Macaca mulatta: one gene and its partners. The protein of the gene in region 3 purifies or fractionates together with the protein of the main gene of each other region. This does not show direct contact. Links are inferred from orthologs where the notes say so. Each region holds a gene or a part of one and is shown on either strand. Other genes may lie near its edges.

Region 1 (3,940 bases), on a different chromosome or scaffold from region 3:
ATGACAAACTGTGGAAACGATCTGCTCAACCCAACAAGGTAACGATTTTTACAAAATGCTGTGAGCCAAGCTGTTAATTCCAACTACCACCAGAACTCGGTACTTTCAAATAAGAAAGCCTGCTTCTCTTCAATAAAATGGAGATAGTATATCCCCAATGATGTTACTGAGCACTTAACAATTTCAATTTCAGACTTCAAAGCAGGGCCTAGCACGTAGCACTATTAGCTTCAGAGTTTAAATTCGGAGTTCATTATGTGGATATACAGGACATTCCTACCTATTCTCTCCCTCCCCAAGTCCACCACACTAACAGCATACTAGTGCAGTGCTGTCACACAGCAAGCAAAGTCAATGCACAAACTGAAATGCTCCCACTCCAGCTCCTGACAACTTTTTAAATTAAAACTTTAGTAGCTTATTATATAACATTAAAAATATATACTTGGTCTATCTCACTTTGTTGATCTAGATTTGACAGGTCAGTCACAAAGAAATGTGCTTAGTTATTGCTGCTAGATATTCAAAACAAATTCATATTACAATCAAGCCAATTTAATACACAACTAGTTTGGGATATGACCTTTATTGAGCTTATCCACCAGAGTGGAAATAATGTCTGTACAAAACCAAATGTTTGTTACTATAACTTCTGCATCACAATTAAAATCCAAACAGTTTTTTAAAAACAGTCAACTCAATCAAAACCCACTACTTCAGAATCAATAGCTTCTTTGAAGCCACAGTAACACTTAAATATGGTTAAGACTCGAATGCAGAAATTTGGTTGGTTGGAAAGCTAATTAAACTTCCAACTTGCTCAAATAGAATTACAAAAAGGCAAAATTGTGTTTTTCACAGAGATACAGTCCACTGGAATCACCAACACTGGACAGCTGTTAGAGTATTTAGAGTCCTGAGATAACAAGGAATCCAGGCATCCTTTAGACAGTCTTCTGTTGTCCTTTCTTCCCAATCAGAGATTTGTGGATGTGTGGAATGACACCTAGGAGAGTGACAGGAATTAATTCTACTTAAGATTTTTTTTTTAAAATCACAGTATTTGAAACCAAAAAAAGTATACTGTTCAAGTATCTTTAAAAACGTGCAGCTCAAGTATGAAGTAAAAATTCAGTTATACATATGAATCAAATTTCATGATAAAACCATACTTGCATCAATGAAAATATACTTAAATTTTCTCTTCTAGAAAAACTAATGAAATTAAAGCAGCAAAGAATTCCTTCCTCTGAAGAAATTTTTAAAAATTTTAGAAGTTAACATACCACCACCAGCAATTGTAGCCTTGATGAGCGAATCCAATTCTTCATCTCCACGAATAGCAAGTTGCAAGTGACGAGGGGTAATACGCTTTACCTTTAAGTCTTTTGATGCATTTCCTGCCAGTTCAAGTACCTAGAAGGCAGAATCTAATCAGTTCCCTTCCAACTTTCCTTTGGCCAAGATTCAGAGAACAGAATAAAACCCTCACAAACGCTTATCTACCAACTGGAGTCGTTCCCCACTATCTGACTGGCAAGATATACAGGGGGCACGCAATTTTAATTCCAAGAGCAGAGAACTCAAGCTCAGTAGGATCCTTGTTGAACAGCAGCTCCCTCTAGCGTTCTCTTAGGCCTCTCGCCGCGTTCAGGGCCTGTGAGTTTTCTTGCATCACTTTCCTCCTTCCCTCTTGCCGTCTCCCCGCCCCCCAAACCTTCTCCGGATTATAGGCGTTCACCCATTTACCTCTGCGGTGAGGTACTCCAGGATGGCTGCGCTGTACACAGCGGCAGTCGCGCCCACACGTCCATGACTGGTCGTCCTAGATTTCAGGTGTCGATGAATACGGCCCACTGGGAACTTAAATTTTAAGCATACACAAACATAAATGCACAAAAATAGGAGAACTAGAGATGGGGAAATTATATGCGCGCCAAAGCAAGTGGCACGGGCGCAGCAACGCGTCCCGACATCGAAACACGTGATTCCTCCCCCCCATATTTATCGTATGGGCAGCCCAAGTCGCGACACCGCATCACCCACGCATAGACGAAACGCCCATGGAGAGCGGTGAATAACAAAAAAGGAGATGCAAAGAAAAACATCACGACTCCCAGACCGCACGAACAACTACTGACCTGCAAGCCGGCTCTCTGCGAGCGGGAAACCGCCTTTGTCTTGGCCTTTCCGGAGTCCTTTCCAGCCTTACCGCCAGCCTGCGGCGCGCACACGCCCGCGAGCGGAGGAGGAACGGAGAATATAGAATTACCAAGGCGGCGCGCCCATCCCCCACCGCGGCGCGTCCCGCCGCGAGCGCGTCCCCGCACCCCGCCGGGGTCTCTGGCCCGCGGCGCGCCGCAGGGGCGACCCCGCCCGTCCGCCCCCCGCCGCGCGCTCGCCGCGGCCGCGCGCCTCCGCCCGCCCGCCGGCCCCCAGCGGCGCTGCGCGCGCCACCCAACCGTCGCCGCCCGCCGCGAGATCCGAGGCTGCTCCGCTAGCAGCCGACAAAACACCTCCCCCCGCTCTTCTTAATCCTGTCTCCGCGCGTTCCCAACCGTCGCCACTTCACCCCCATCCCCCGTGTAACGGGTTTTTCTCCCGCCGGCAAAAACCCGCGAAGTCATCGAGCGTCTCTGCGAAGTTTACCATTTCGAATTCTGCTGAAGCTCAAGCAAGCAAGGCAGAGAAAAGGCTAATCGGACCCACGGTGAGATCCCACCACCTACTCCTTCGTCGCACCGCGATTCAAACTGCGCTGTCTCCCGCCTTCCCTGCTCCCTTTATACTGCAGAATGTTCCCTCATCCGGGAACTCGGATTGCTCATCCCACCAATGGCTGCCACCCGCCCTCGGGACGCGTCCTTGAGACTTCAGCCAATGAGCAAGCAAAGAAAAGGGTGGAGGGGCGGGCGCTTCTAAGCTCAAGCCGCGATTGGGACGTGAGGAGCGAAGCGGGGGAGGGCGGAGGGATGGGAACGGGGGAGAAGAAGGGCACCGCGGCGGGAGGGAAGAAACAGAGCAAGCTACTCTGCGGGAGCGCAGTTACCAGCCAGCTGCGGTCACGTGCCGGGGAGGAGGAGCTGAGACCTCAGGGGAGGGGCGCGCGGTAGCGCCCCGGGTCCCCTAGCAGGGCTTTGGAGACCACGTGAAGTCTCGTCCGTATCTAGCACGCAGCCCCCACCGCTCCCAACCCCACCCCCAGCGCCTCTCGGGCGGAGACCTGCGACCTGCAGCCGCCTTCCGGGGCCCCGGGCACCCTCTCCCGACCCTCTCAATCCCTGGCGGCTCTTCCAGTCTGACAGGTGGCGCGAACGCGTCCAGTGAGGGGAGGCTGAGGTTTGCCCTGACGCCTTCCTCAGCCTTAGTAGAGATTCCGTGTTTCTTCCCTCTAGGCGAATCCCCAGTCACCAACAACAGATCAGGACGGGTTGCTCCCACTTTATTTTCAGCCGGGTCTTCCACCTCTCCCTCACTACTTATGAAATCCCCCACGGAATAGTTCTGTAACAGCAAACGGTGAAGCCAAGTCACCTCACTGGTCACGAAACCCTTTTTGTTTACACTTAAGGAGCTTCTGGCGAGGCAGTATTCTTAAATCATAAACCGTATTTTTTGGAGACTACACATCAATGAGTTGTACCTGTAGCCTGATGTGTAAAGCTCATTTAGTGAAACCTCAGAGCTATTATGTGTCAACTTTTCTACAATAAATATTTTGCCACATGACAAATGTTCGGCAAATGTCGACGGAGTAACTCTGACATGATTCACAGGCAGTTACAGAGGGTCGGTGCAATGCAATCAACTGCAAATGATGAGGTTAAAATAATGATACTGTACACACAGTACTATCCTTCCAACTAGTAGATTATTAACACCTACGTATATCTCCAGCTGCTTGGGGACAGTAGTGTCTCAATCTCATTTGTAGTGTTTT
Region 2 (3,650 bases), on a different chromosome or scaffold from region 3:
CATCTCCCTGGCTCAAGCGATCCATCTCCCGTCTCAGCCTCCGAGAGTAGCTGGAACTACGGTCATGTGTCACCACACCTGGCTAATTTTTGTACTTTTGTTTCTGTTTTTTTGGTAAAGATGGGGTTTCACCATGTTGCCCAGGCTGGTCTCCAAGTCCTGGGCTCAAGCAATCCACCTGCTTTGGCTTCCCAAAGTGCTGGGATTACAGGCGTGAGCCACAATGCCCAGTCTGCAGCATCATTCTTTTTTATTTATTTATTTATTTATTTTTTTGAGATGGAGTCTCCCTCTGTCTCCCAGGCTGGAGTGCAGTGGCGCGATCTCCACTCACTGCAAGCTCCGCCTCCCGGGTTCACGCCATTCTCCTGCCTCAGCCTCCCGTGTGGCTGGGACTACAGGCGCCCGCCACCGCGCCCGGCTAATTTTTGTATTTTTAGTAGAGACGGGGTTTCACCGTGTTAGTCAGGATGGTCTCGATCTCCTGACCTCGTGATCCGCCCATCTCGGCCTCCCAAAGTGCTGGGATTACAGGCGTGAGCCACCGCGCCCGGCTGCAGCATCATTCTTAAAGGGCTGGGAATATATAGCAAAACTTTCTAGGCTCTCATTAGTACCACCAATAAAAGCCTATTTTACATACAGTTATCTAACTATGTCATTTTCTTACTTAACATTTTAAATAATTTCCCATTATGTATAATGTAGATAGAGGCTATCTGACATCTGGGTATTACTGCAGGCATCAAGCCTTTCATCCCCTCTTCCTCTTCTATGTTATGTGCTCCAGCAATGCTAAACTGCTAGGAGTTCCCTCTAGTATGTTGTGCCTAGAACCCTTCCCTATACTTTCTATCTTGAAAATTACTCTTTTGTAAGGCACTATATCCCTCATTCCTTCAAACTGGTCATCTGATGAATGTCCCATGGCTGTTCAAAGCTCTGCCTGAGTCAAACTAGATGATCCTCTGACAAAAGTAATATATGGGTTCATTAAGCACTCCTCAAGGAATAAAATTAAGCATATCTTTGCACATTTGATACTATTCATGACTATCAGAATATTATCTGGGTAGAAAAACTAATCAGTGAAAAAAAAGAGTAAAACTAGTATAATCCAGCCAAAAGGGACACATTTTATGCAAACTCCAGATTTTAAATGGTTATAGCAATGAAGAGTTTTATAAACAGTCCTGCTTTCAAACATATCTATAATGTTGGTTTTTTAAAAAAAGTTTCCTTAAAGCAAACAAGTCAAAAAGTTAAAATATGATAAAGCTGGCAGTAGGTTCAAGGTCTTTGTTACAGTATTTTCTGTTAAGTTTCCTATGCTATTTTTAAAAAGATGGTATTGCTAGAGCAGGTGATACACAATATTTTTTGAAAAAATGGATCTTTCTTTTTGTTTGTTTGTTTTTTTGAGACAGAGTCTTGCTCTGTCGCCCAGATTGGAGTACAGTAGCACGATCTCAGCTCACTGCAAGCTCTGCCTCCCGGGCGCACGCCATTCTCCTACCTCAGCCTCCTGAGTAGCTGGGACTACAGGCACCCGCCACCATGCCTGGCTAATTTTTTGTATTTTTAGTAGAGACGGGGTTTCACTGTGATAGCCAGGATGGTCTCGATCTCCTGACCTTGTGATCTGCCCGCCTTGGCCTACCAAAGTGCTAGGATTACAGGCGTGAGCCACCGCGCCCGGCCGGATCTTTTAATATATAAAGTAAAAGTCTTATTTTAAAAACAGCACTTATAAAAATAAATATTTTTTAATTGTGCACATTTTTCTATAAAGCTGTTGCAATATTTATCAAAGAGTTAAAATCTGAATCAGTCCCTTTAAGTCTTTTTTAAAATCAAACAGCCATTACCTAACAAATTAGCAAAATTTGCATTAAAAGTTATAAAACACAATGCTGGTGGAGTGTGGTAAAAAGGAAAGTATTGTTGATATTTTCAATATTTACAATTATATATTAACTGTCTTAAAATATTGATAATTTTTGGTTAGTAACTAGTAATTCAATTACTAAGAATCTATTTTAAATACAGAGGGAAAAGATCTAAGTTCATTTTTATAAATGGAAAAACTGAAAACCATGTGCTCCACAAGAGAGTAAATTCTATACAACTGATGAAAGATAATACAGAGTAAATACCATTTCAGTGGCTACATAAATAATGTGGAAATGTTTATGCTACATACATTAGGGGAACAAAGCAAGAATAAAAACTCTAAGATAGCAATTGCTTTAAAAATATAACAATACAAAATACTAGCAGGAAATATCTTTAAAATAGTTTTAAAACAAGCACCTGTGGAAATTCATCTTCATCTGAGCTGTGAAAGTCATATTGCTTAATGTCACTCTTATTGATCACAGGCAATGTCTCTGGAGTGGGTTGCTGAGATGTTATCAAAGCCTCTGCTTTAGGCTTCTTTGGGTACTTCTTCTTTTGACGAACCACATCAGAAGCCTCTTCTTTCAAAGACAAATGATGAGGGTGCTGTTTACATGACGATTTTTCCCCCAAAAGGAAGAAATAAAAATCATTTTAGAAATCATGAAAAACTATACTGCTCTTTGAAAAACATACATTTTTACCCAGGAGGTGATTTTATTATTTTTAATATGCAAAAATTATTCTGTGTTCATAAATTGAAACATGTTTTACTTTCTGCAACTTATGATGAAAAATAATTATGGTATTTAAATTTGCTTTTTACATTATTATTACTACTTTAAACTATGTGAGGAATTTTTTGGATTGCTCTATTATGTAATCCAGTATTTAAAAGGTATTTAAATTCAATTTTTATTTAAATCTGCTGCACTGATAAAAATTAATCACTATTTTTAAGTTTCTTCAACTGGATCATGAGTTTATTGTCATTTCTACACTTAGATCCAATTTTTTAAAATGTGTGTTCTATGGATGTAAATCTTTTGAGAAAAATAAGCTTAACTAGGAAAAAAAACCCCTCACTTTTTAGAATGTATAATTACTGCAGCAACCGAACAGTAACTGTTCTGAAGTCCCGCAGGCTTCTGTGGAGGTTCCTGAGAGGCCATCTGGCAAAGACACTCACTGAAGGGGTAGTGCCCCTACCTCCCCTCAACAGAGCAGCTCTGTTACTGTTTTAACATACTGGCATTCCTTTTAATAAAAAGGGATCTGCCACTTTAAAAGTTGGAAAAGACTGTTCCAAGCACCAAGGTACAAACTACAAAACTTATACTTTTCCACATCTAGTCCAGATGTTAACTACTTTAGGGTCAAAAACAGTACACACAATAAAAATATTGTTTGAAAGGCAAATTATATTTAGTGAGATATAAAATTTTTCATATAATGGGCATAACTATTACATCAAAAACAAAGCCCCAACTTTCAGAAACTTCCCACATTTTCAAGTGGAATACATGACAAAGTAAATATAGTTAACTATGTGTAATGGAGTAGGACAACAATGGATGCAACCAAATTCCTAAAGTTAGTATTTAGGAAGGCTGAGTATTTATTCATAGAGGAAGTCTAAAATGAGAATCAATATCTAATAAAGGCTGATTCTGTCAGTAATTATGGGTTAAGATTTTCATACTGCAATGCTTAACAATCACATACCTAGGAAAAGCACTGATTAACACAAA
Region 3 (3,650 bases):
CAGTGTTTTAAATTTTTTTTTTTTTTTTTTGAGACAGTCTTGCTCTGTTGCCTAGGATGGAATGCAGTGGTGCAATCTCAGCTCACTGCAACCTCCCCTTCCTGGGTTCAAGCAATTCTTCTGCCTCAGCCTCCCGAGCAGTTGGAACTACAGGCGCCTGCCACCATGCCCAGCTAATTTTTGTGTTTTTAGTAGAGATGGGGTCTCACCATATTGGCCAGGCTGGTCTCGAACTCCTGACCTTGTGATCTGCCTGCCTCGGCCTGTTTTAAATCTTACTGGGTCATTCTGATCACTAGTCAGGAAAAGAGGAGGAACAGGGTTTGGAGCCAGTCTTGTCCAGCTGTTTGACCATGTGACATGGCAGTCATCATAATTGTTTTTCTTTTTCCTTTTCTGAGATGGAGTCTCGCTCTGTCGCCCAGGCTGGAGTGCAGTGGCGCCATCTCGGCTCACTGCAACCCCCACCTCCTGGGTTCAAGTGATTCTCCTGCCTCAGCCTCCCAAGTAGCTGGGACTACAGGCGCACGCCACCACGCTTGGCTAATTTTTTGTATTTTTAGTAGAGATGGGGTTTCACCGTATTAGACAGGATGGTCTTGATATCCTGACCTTGTGATCTGCTCGCCTCAGCCTCCCAAAGTGCTGGGATTACAGGTGTGAGCTACCATGCCCAGGCCATCATAATTGTTTTTCTTTTAGCTCAAGGTTTTAAACCGTTGAAATGCAAATTATGACTTAAGTTACACCTTTATGTAAGCAGATTTTCCTTAGGTGGTTCTAGACCATGGCTGTACATGATATTCACCTGGGGCCTTAAAAAACCGCCAATGTTAGCCAGGCAGGTGGCCCCTGCCTGTAATTCCAGCTACTCAGCTGAGGCAGGAGAACTGCTTGAGCTCCGGAGTTTGAGACTATCCTGGGCAATACAGTGAGACCCTATTGCTAAAGAAAACAACAACAACAAAAAACTGGCTGGGTGTGGTGGCTTGTGCCTGTAGTGCCAGCTGCTCAGGAAGCTGAAGTGGGAGAACTGCTTGAGCTCAAGGCTGTGGTGAGCTATGATCACGCCACTGCACTACAGCCTGGGTGACAGGGCGAGACACCATCTCAGGGAAAAAAAAAAAAAAAGGAAAGGCCAGGCGTGGTGGCTCATGCCTGTAATCCCAGCACTGTGGGAGGCCGAGGCAGGTGGGTCACTTGAGTCCAGGAATTCGAGACCAGCCTGGGCAATATGGTGAAATCCCATCTCTACAAAATATATAAAAATTAGCCAGCACCTGTAGTCCCAGCTACTCAGGGGGCTGAGGCAGGAGGATCACTTGAGCCTGGGAGGCAGAGGTTGCAGTGTGCTGAGATCATGCCACTGCACTCCAGCCTGGGTGACAGAGTGAGACCATGTCTTAAAAAGAAAAAAAAAAAAAAGCTGGGCGCTGTGGCTCATGTCTATAATCCTAGAACTTTAGGAGGATTGCCTGAGCCCAGGAGTCTGAGACCAGCCTGGGCAACCTAGGGAGACCCTGTACCTACAAAAATAAAAATAAGAAAATTAGCCAGGCATGAAAGGACACACCAGTGATCCCAGCCACTCTGAAGGCTGAGGTGGGAAGGTCACTTGAGCCTGTGATCACACTACTGCACTCCCGCCTAGGTGACAGAGAGAGATTGTGTCTCAAAAAAATGAACAAACAAACAAAACCCAAGAATCTCTCTTCTAGGTCTTTTTGTACGAGCAGTTTCAGATGAGGGGGAAAAGAGAAAAGAAGCAAAAACTACCACCAAAAGGAAGAAAAGGGCCTAAAAAGGAAACACAGGAAACTGAAGATAAACTTGGCCTTGTTACAATTCTGAATTGGACTAGCCTTGACTAGAAGTAACTTAAATAAATATTTTCCCTCTAAATTAGGATATACTTCCACAAGTAAATGTAGCAGACTCAAAATGACAATCTTGACAATAAACTATATAAGAAAGATCAGGAATTCAAACTTATTTTGAAATTCCTAGCAACCTTCTCTCCAGTGAAGATACACACACATACACATTTTATGTCAAAATGAATATGCTTGGGGACTCCTTCTATTAGCTTACACCCAAATCCTATAATTGCATTTCTATATTTTAAAACCTATTATCTTACCTTTCTAATGGTTGCGACACATATTGTAGAAAGATTTAATGGGTCTATAGCTTCCAATTTCATTCCTTCCTTGAACCATTCCCCACTCTGGTCTACTTCTTTTACCTAAAGAATTATATGAAAGCACATCTACTGTTACAAATGTTGTTATTTTAATAATTAAAATATTACCAATGTGAAAAGATTTACCAGGTGCCTTCTCCTACCTACCTAGTATTATAACTCAAACTTCCATCAAAGTTTAGAGAGAATTCAGACAAATAGAATTTAAGAATAATTATAATAAAGAGTTGTGACACCTATGAATTTACAAGGTCTTAATTCTTTTAAGTGAACACATGTAACTGTGATTTCCGTAATTTTAGGAAAAAACCCACAACCCTCTTTCAAACCTAATTTACAAATGAGGGTTCTTATAAAAACTTCTTACCTTAGCAAATAAATGTGGTGGTGTATCAAAATGTCCATCCTGTTTCTTTGTAATATCTACAAGGAAAAGTTACACACTAATCTGTCAGCATTTGTGAGAAGACCAAAAACCACGTTCTTTGAAGGCTTCAAACTCACAAGGTATGTCATACTATAAAACATGGCAAAAAGACATGCCTTCTACATTTGGGGTGAATATTCTTTAATAGTCTTTTCTCTCTTCAGGGTACATGTGCATATATGCTTTTAAATATATTCAGCCAATTTTAATGCTCATAATTTTAATGTAATTCCCTAGTTAGAAAATTACAACTTTAGAAGCATGTTTTCATGTGCTTAGTATTAAGTCTAACCACATTTCATCTTGCTATTTTGATTAAAATTGAATGGAAAGGGAAAGGGATCTTTAGATCTTTCAAATGGGCTGAATAATAGGCTGAATAATAAAAGAAAGAAATAACTGTAGTTGTGACCAAAAGTTCATTCTTTTGGAGAACAAGTGGAAAGAATATAAAAAAATTTATTAGGACACTAACATGGTGTGAACCTTCACTAATTAAGGTAGAATAAGCAGCCCAAAAAACTAGAATGCTATTTTTGATCTGTGCAATTCTGCAGAGAAAAATAACCAACTAGTATAATTCAGCCTCAATGATGCTTTTGACAGGAGTTCTTGTGACAGGTGCTTACCAGATCTTTTGAATCGATGACCTATGCTTCGAGACCAACCGATATGATGTATTAATGGGCTGTGCATATGGCACCAGAAGTCATCTGTTCTATCTTCGCTTTCTTCATACACTAGTCTTAATCTTCCTCCAATTACACTTTCCACCACTGCTACTCGTGTTCGACACAAATGCCTCTTGTCAACCACTTCTACTCTCATGCAAGGTTTGAAAGGATACTGCATACTCTCTGAAACCTTAAAAGCATACAAAAAAAACTGCTCGAAATTCATGACAAGAATTTCTTGTCTACAAGAAATTTTCGTATTATACTGTAAAAAATACTGAATGCATTTGAAATGTAACACACATCATCTGGTTCACAAAATTAAAACAATTCCTTAAAAATGTTC

What was found.
Region 1: the proteins of MBTD1 (region 3) and H2AZ1 purify together in Homo sapiens (affinity purification with mass spectrometry; 3 studies listed by BioGRID and IntAct, with this or other methods). This does not show direct contact. The link is inferred for Macaca mulatta from reciprocal best matches to the Homo sapiens genes MBTD1 and H2AZ1.
Region 2: the proteins of MBTD1 (region 3) and EPC2 purify together in Homo sapiens (affinity purification with mass spectrometry; 3 studies listed by BioGRID and IntAct, with this or other methods). This does not show direct contact. The link is inferred for Macaca mulatta from reciprocal best matches to the Homo sapiens genes MBTD1 and EPC2.

The regions. Positions count from the first base shown.
Region 1 is NC_133410.1:109,266,931-109,270,870, forward strand, and holds H2AZ1 (H2A histone family, member Z), read right to left. Parts: upstream 2,709-3,940; 5' UTR 2,653-2,708; coding exon 2,650-2,652; intron 2,220-2,649; coding exon 2,142-2,219; intron 1,864-2,141; coding exon 1,750-1,863; intron 1,417-1,749; coding exon 1,287-1,416; intron 1,007-1,286; coding exon 945-1,006; 3' UTR 568-944; downstream 1-567. UniProt on the Homo sapiens protein: Variant histone H2A which replaces conventional H2A in a subset of nucleosomes. Nucleosomes wrap and compact DNA into chromatin, limiting DNA accessibility to the cellular machineries which require DNA as a template.
Region 2 is NC_133417.1:53,760,103-53,763,752, reverse strand, and holds part of EPC2 (enhancer of polycomb homolog 2), read right to left. Parts: intron 2,506-3,650; coding exon 2,314-2,505; intron 1-2,313. UniProt on the Homo sapiens protein: May play a role in transcription or DNA repair.
Region 3 is NC_133421.1:58,802,448-58,806,097, reverse strand, and holds part of MBTD1 (MBT domain-containing protein 1), read right to left. Parts: intron 3,495-3,650; coding exon 3,260-3,494; intron 2,627-3,259; coding exon 2,571-2,626; intron 2,246-2,570; coding exon 2,141-2,245; intron 1,144-2,140; exon of another isoform or gene 901-1,143; intron 491-900; exon of another isoform or gene 178-490; intron 1-177. UniProt on the Homo sapiens protein: Chromatin reader component of the NuA4 histone acetyltransferase complex, a multiprotein complex involved in transcriptional activation of select genes principally by acetylation of nucleosomal histones H4 and H2A.